2 linked regions of the Caenorhabditis elegans genome follow. The protein of the gene in region 1 interacts with the protein of each later gene in a pairwise test. Each region holds a gene or a part of one and is shown in the gene's direction. Other genes may lie near its edges. The genes, in order: exc-1 and exc-9.

Region 1 (3,930 bases):
AGGTGGAATTGGAAATTGTAACTTCTCATTGCTCAGGTGCATTGAATAATTAATAGACACGCAATGCTGTAGTCGTCTGTTTTAGGAAGTCATTCCGTGTGTCGATGTCATCAAAAATTTTATTATCCGCCTGACCTCACCGGTTGCTGAGATGGTGACAGATGGGAGAGTGAGGAAGATTGTAAATATATGGAAAACTCAAAAGGTATCTATGGAATGCAACTAAAAATGATATGCATGCAAGACTAATAGAAGAAAAACGGTAGTCTGCCTTAAGTTAGTCAAAATTGAAAAGTTGCTACTGAAAATTTGGATTTAGAATTTTTTTTTCGTATTTCTTTTGTGGTATAATTGTTTAATTCAAATAACTTTTATATTTACACAGAAAATGCAGTTTTAATGTTAAAACAACCAGATTTTAGTACTTCAGATATGACTGAAAATACGGTACCTTACAATAAAACCTTCCCATTGGCAAAAAAATGTTTCACCATGAATTCTGCTCAGTGGGGAAATTGCTTTAAAACATTCCTATGGGGACATCCCATTCCATTACTATGGCCGAATATCATGATTAAAAAATTCAGAAAAATTTTTAAATTTTTAAATAAAAAATTTTAAAATTAAAAAAAAAATTTTTCGATTGAGCGCGCTTGCACTATTATATTTAATTAATTCTTTTTATTTTTATTATTTGACTGTTTTTTTTACATATTCCGTGTCGTTTTATCGGAAAATAAAAAGCATAAGCAATAAATATGCATTGTGTTCATTAAAAATAACTGAAAGTGCGTAAAACTGTGATATTCTGAGTTCCAACGACGAAAAGCCTGAAATTAGTATTTTTACAGTTTTCAACTTTCCAAATGGAATTAGGATCATTTTCAGATGGCCTTTTCAGAATCCGAACTACTTCAAATTTTCAATGAGATTAATTCACGATGAATCCAAACCCCATCTACCAACATCATATCTAAAACTTGTTAAAACAAAAGTCAATGATAGACCAGACGGCTGGAATGATTCACCGTAATTTGCATAAAGTGCAGGTTTATGGAAATAAAAAGTGTGCCAGTAACTCGGGAAAAAAAAGATGCGGAGAAAAATACTGTATAACTGATTTTCCGTGTTTGTTGCAAACCACTTTTCTCTCCGCTTTTCATCCAATCTCTCAATTTTTAGTAAGACTATGCGATTAAAACGGAGTGCGTTGATTCGTCCTATTGTATTCTTCGCGTTTCACATATTCTATGTATATTCAATATTCTACTTTCTAAATTTTCAAAATTTTCACCACTCGTTTTCTTTTGTATGAAAATTTATAACTCGGCGTTTGGCACTAGCTTCTTGGCCAAGTTTTGCTCTGCCGGAAATGTTAATTTTTATCAAACGTTGCCAAAATTTGGGTTACATTTGGCGCAACTTGGACGAGATTGTGGCAAAACTTAATTTGAGCAGCGCCGAGTTTGACCCAACTTTTACCAAACTTTTGTGCAAACATTTCTGGTGTCGTTTCAAACTTGAGCTGGTTTAAAGTTGGCTTAAACTTGTGCTCAGCCTAATTTTTTTCCCAAAGATCTTGCACAACTTTCGCCAAGGTTGGCCCTAGTTTTGCCAACTTTTAATCAATGTTAAACATTTTCGGGCTAAACTGAAGCAAGAACCTAATGCAAAATGCCGAGAATACATGCCAATAACAAATTTCAACTTGAATTTTTTAGGATGGGACACAAAACCTCAAAAAACGAGAAAGTGGAAAACCATGTTGCGTTTCCAACAGCAAAAACGCTCGCCGACCTACCAAACATTACAATTACGCACCCGACACCCATTTACCAACCAGATACGCCTAATCCTTTTACTGTTCCACCACCCACACCGCGGGATACACACAGGTAGTTGTTAGCTGAAAAATGTATACAAATACTTGTTCGTTTGCATTTGATATTGATTTCAGCTTGAGATCGTTTATCGAAGAAACACCAATATTACTGGGGTCTAGTGAGCACTCTGGTTCTAGTAGTCCACCTAGATCAAGCCCACCACCTCCGCCAAGTATTCCACCGCCGTCTGATCCGCCTAAAGATGGAATATTCCATCATGAAGATACTAGGGTAAGGATACTCGAAAAGATAGGATTTTTCGTTTTTTTTTGTTCATAATTTTGTTGTGAAAAATGTTTTAAATATGTAATTTTAATACTGAAATATTTTATTTCTTTCAAGTATGTATGCAAAGTTTTCTGTACATAGTTGCAACAATTCCTAAACATATTTTTTGAAAAATAAATAATCAGTAAAATTGTTTTCCAGAAAATCTTTGGTTCGTCCGTACTCACAAGAGGTGCCAGTCCGTTGCCCCCAAAACCAGATGAATCTCACTACGCTCCTCCAGTTATAAAACGCCCCATTTATTATGCGAAAGACAAAATTCAGTTATTCGAGGCTTTGAACACAAGAGACCGTGACCCGCCTGTAGTTCCAAAAGAGAAAAAAGTTGAAAAGGAAGAGTTAGCATATGCAGTGGGTATTCCACATGTGAAGTTTGATTTTGCGAAGCAGGAAAAAAAGGCACCCAATTTGCAAGATAATGCATCAGTTTCTTCTATTAAAGTGAGTGCATGTATAAGCCAGTTTTTTCAAAAATTAAACACGAACCCAATATTAATCGGATGTTAAGTGCGCGAGAGCTTTACCACAAGTCTAACATATTTCAAACCAGTGGTGTGCTGCGAATTTGCCGAGCTCGGCAAGTTTCGAAATTTACCGCACACATCAAAAATTTGACAATACAATTTTGACCAAAACTATTGATTTTTGTCCTCAAAAAATTAGTAAAATGACAACAATTTGAGGCCGTACATCCCTGTTTCAGACAACCGATGACTACCCAATCTACAATGTTCTCAATGACTACAACTACAGTTCCGGAAAAACATTTCACAGTGGTGCATTTCCAATTGACGCTAATAGAAAAAATTTTGGATTTTGTGGAAGAAGTGGGTCTGGAAAATCCTCACTGATTAATTCTCTGCGAGGCTTGAACAATGGTGATCCACAATCAGCTGGAAGAAGTCATTGTGACAGAATGGAGCCATTTCGGTTTATTGAAGGAGAGTTTCAACAAATTGTTCTCTGGGAAATTCCATATCCCAGAACGTTCTCTTCGTCAAGTGTTGTTTTTGACGCCAACATGGGTTTTGAGAAATTATATGAGTAAGTTTTATTTAGGATGGAAGATGGTGAGTATCGCCACTGGATACTTACTTAAAAACCACTTTTGTGTTGTTGAATTGGCCGAATTTAAAAGTTAAAAGTAGAGTATAGTCAGTGGAAAAATTGTTTAAAGCGTCTCGGCGTTTGCCGCCAGCTTCCTACCCAAGGCTTCGCAACTTCTTACCCAAGCCTTGCCCAAAAAATAAAAACATTTATAAGGAGTTGCCAAGACTTGGGTAAACCTTGGGCAAGAGTTGGGCGCCGCCTCAAAAATGAAAAAAGTCGTGGACTGCCTCGTCGTCTCGAGGCGTCGCCCAAGTCTTACCCAAGTCTTACCCAAGTTTTGCCTATTTCTTACCCAATTTATACCTGTGTGTTGAACTTTGATAGCATTTCCCGTTGTGCCGAAGTCTTACCTGCTGAGCCATGATGGTCGCGCGAAAAGATGCACTCTAGTAAAAATATATCGTACTCATATTCTGATAGATATTTTTGAGGAAGTACCAGATATATCGGATTGATACGGTATTCTCACATACCTTATTTCATTTGTTTTCAAGTGTGCTCCCTGATGATTCTAAGTTCAGAATTTACAGAATTACTGTAATTCATGCTTGTTTCATGTCTTTCAATTTTATACAAGTTTACATTTCAAAGGAACAGTTCAGTCTTAGAAAAATTCAAAATTTGATGCATTGAATTGACTGACTATTAT
Region 2 (3,625 bases), on another chromosome or scaffold:
TGTTTAAAGATTTTAACAAAAAAAATTGAAAAGTCGGTGAACGTGAAGGAAAAAGAGACACGGTTGCTGAGAATTTTTGACCGTTTCGGGACCCAGGGGTTTTCGTATCACATTTCTTGGATTGCATATTAATTTATAACAGTGTATTATTAATTTGTATTGGTAATCCTTAACTTTCAACTCAACTTTCAACTTCCACAGACGTACGAATGAGTAATAAGTTGTTTTCTAGTTCTTCTGTTTACTAGATTAATCGTTCTCTAATTTCCAGTTTTTTCAATGAAAAATGTATATTATTATTTCGAACTATTTTACCATCCCATTAATCTTTAATCAAATAGTTATCGTCTAATGGGCAAATTTACTTCACTTGAGAAAAAACCATTCCTAATACTAATTTCATGTCACCCTTGTACATCTTCTCATATTATTCTCCCTTTCTAAATCCAAATATGTCCTTTTGTGACACCCCATCACAAGAAGAAGAAACATGTATTTTTAGAGACATAGAAGTGTAAATTGCACCTGTTCATTGCCTGTTCTTTTCCCATCCCGCGCACGCGGTCAGTGGTAAAAAGTTGTAAAAGAACAGATGTGGTGCCCCTTTCTTTGCTTCAATTGCCCTGTGATGCAGCAACAAAAATATTAAAATTATATTTTATTATTATTGAAGTGATGTAGTCTAAACTTACCGTAGCATAGGAAATAGTAAAAATTGTTGAAAGTTATTTTTTATTTTCACTCAAATATCAAAAAAAAAATTCAAATTTTGTTTACTAACTACATACATAGTTTACACAAAATATCAGTTATATTTCCGCTGATTCATTCAAAAAATGCAAATATTTTTCCATTTTTCCGGTCCCGCGAAACTAATAATCTCTTGCCTTTTCTCTCTTTTTTCACTCGGTTTATTTCGGCTTTCAGACCTATTCATAGTGGGGAAATTTGTGTGGAATTGGGAAAATTCTCTGCGTCTCTTGCTCTCTTTCAGTCAGTCAGTAGAATTGTATTTGTGCCAACTGTCACATTGTGTTGTTTCTGGTGGCAGGTGTCTAGGTATACCTTTTTCCTCAATACTATGACACACCCTACACACCATGTTAGGTATTCGCTTTATTTGCGTGTGGTGGGTAGTACTAATTGACAAAAATCAATTTATCGTCTTGCATGTAATTATGTACTTGTATGAAAGGCTAATTTTTCAAGTTGTCTGTAGTACGGCTAATATTCGCAAACCTCGTAAAAAACGTTTTTTTTTTTCAGAAATTTGTCAGTGCTTCAACGTGTTTAGAAGTTGATTTGAGATAGTTTAGAAATTGCTCTAACTGCTAACATTATCTAATATCATTGTAAACTATTCAAAAAAAATGTTGGAATTTTTAATTTACAGTAATTTACAGAAAAGTGGTAATCATTCAGTTTTCATATATCGTAGTTTTGGAATTCGAAGGTGCAATAATCCTCCGAATGTTTCAAAAAAATTGCAATTTTAGAAAATTTGACAATTTACCAAAACTAACTGAAAATTTTAAAACTCCAAAGACACTTTGGAATTTTCGATTTATTTTTTTGTTCATTTCAAAACTATTTTGACATAATTCTCACTGGCGTTGATCTTTTTTTACGGAAGTTTTATTATGACAATGGATTTTCAATTAGGGCTCAGGGTGTTCCAATACTACATGCATGGGAAAACTAACTGTATTTAGAGGAAATATGTTTTTTTTGCAGTTATACATTCTGTTCATAGTTCGAAAAATCATAAACTCCATCTTTAACTTACGTGGCCTTTTGTTCTAAATTTGTTCAGTTCTCTGTATTTTCCTCCTTTGTGCTCAACATTTTTTACGTGGAATTCTGAGTTCATCTGTTATTTCTCACAGTAATCTGGTCTTCGAGCTTTTCCTCATAAAATTTGGTAAACATTGGTTATAAAAGACGCGCGTGACAGAAACAGCAGAAGCTACTCAAAATCTTCTTCTCCTTCTTTGCCTTCTTTTTTGTTTCTCTCATCTATTTTAGAATTCTCTTATCCTTTCTGTTTCTTCTTTTTCTTCAATGAATATCCCGTTATCCATTTCCATTTCAGAGAGCCAACAATGCCAAATTGCCCGCGTTGCCAGAAAGCTGTGTATTTCGGTAATATTCTATAACAACTAATTCATTAGAAAATCTTTTATTTTCAGCCGAACGAGTGACTTCAATTGGTTTCGACTGGCATCGTCCATGTCTTCGTTGTGAGAATGAAGCATGCAAGAAGACGTTGGCAGCTGGAAGTCATTCGGAGGTTTGTTTAGTTTTACGGAGCCGTGAACATATATAATTCAAAACCTATGTTGGGAAATTTTCTAGATTCCAATAATCGATCATTAACAGATTATTAAAACTTTATGGCTTATAAGTATACTTTTCAAAAAAAGTATACTTCCCAAAAAAAGAACTTTGTAGACCTAGGGACATTCCATCTATAACTTCTTTTTTGAAATATTTCTCTCAAAAGCTCATAATCTATATATTTTCAGAGAGAGGGCAAGCCATACTGTAACCGATGTTACGGAGCTTTGTTCGGACCACGTGGATACGGCCACGGTGGAACCGAGTCACACACGTTTCATCAAGGACAAACTGGACAGGTAAGAAGAGTTTTTGTTTCTACTATAAATTATTTTACTTTATAAAACTAACTTGAGTTTCTAGTAACCTTTAGTAAGGTTTATTTTCTACGTTTCAAATTCTTGGAAAACAAAATTTTGAAACGCTTTATAATATTATTACTGTTTGAAATTTCCTAAATTTATGATAGAAAACATGAAAATAGTATTCCTCTAACAATTGAATGGCTCAGTTTAATTTTTCAGTTCAAAATTCTCAACATTTTCAGGTTTAAGCCATCAACTGCTTCTCCACGTTCAATCAGTCCTCATTCTATCCGCAACAGTAGAATTCTCGTACCCACACGCCACATCGTCACCTACTACTGATTTTAATATTCGTTTTTTTGCCTCTTTTTTCGATATTTCGAAAAGAAATTGTGTCTCTACGACATTCACATTCCCCCACTCAAACAATTCGACATAATAAAGTTTATTGATAGAAATATATTACTTATATGTAAAATAACATTTTTAAATGGGTCTAAAACAGAACGAAAAATCAAGCAAATAAACTGAAAGTCTGAGTACTTTACGATGTTTATTAATACTTTCCAGCTACGGAGCTGATATCATCCATAAATATTAAAAAAAGATCTACTGATAGTAAGATTTGTTTTCAAAATAACAACGAACAAAATCCGGAAAAAATCTTTATAAGTGTGAAAATATGTAATATGTGTTCTTAATATTAGAACAAGTAAGCTGAAATTGACGTATATTACAAATCCTATTGTGGGTCTTCAAACTCAAATTCAAAGATAGACTAACATTCAGACATTAGACATAAATAATTTCAGTTCAAAGATTTTTGCTTACAGCTTTGCAATTAATAAACAACCCACAAAAGCAAAGCTTGGTCTATATTTCAAGAGCTGTTTGATTCTATTACCTCAATCAAATTGCTTCATTTTTCAAAAGTAATATGACACTTGGACGCCAATACTCTAAGGTTTTCCAAAAATGAATTC

What was found.
Region 2: the proteins of exc-1 (region 1) and exc-9 interact in a two-hybrid assay, tested with the Caenorhabditis elegans proteins (one study listed by BioGRID).

Annotation. Positions count from the first base shown.
Region 1 is NC_003284.9:15,475,195-15,479,124, reverse strand, and holds the start of exc-1 (IRG-type G domain-containing protein), read left to right. Parts: upstream 1-1,715; 5' UTR 1,716-1,722; coding exon 1,723-1,895; intron 1,896-1,957; coding exon 1,958-2,114; intron 2,115-2,312; coding exon 2,313-2,612; intron 2,613-2,874; coding exon 2,875-3,215; intron 3,216-3,930.
Region 2 is NC_003282.8:7,939,284-7,942,908, reverse strand, and holds exc-9 (Cysteine-rich protein 1), read left to right. Parts: upstream 1-1,844; 5' UTR 1,845-1,921; intron 1,922-2,092; 5' UTR 2,093-2,102; coding exon 2,103-2,142; intron 2,143-2,189; coding exon 2,190-2,290; intron 2,291-2,525; coding exon 2,526-2,636; intron 2,637-2,824; exon of another isoform or gene 2,825-2,845; intron 2,846-2,884; coding exon 2,885-2,890; 3' UTR 2,891-3,097; downstream 3,098-3,625.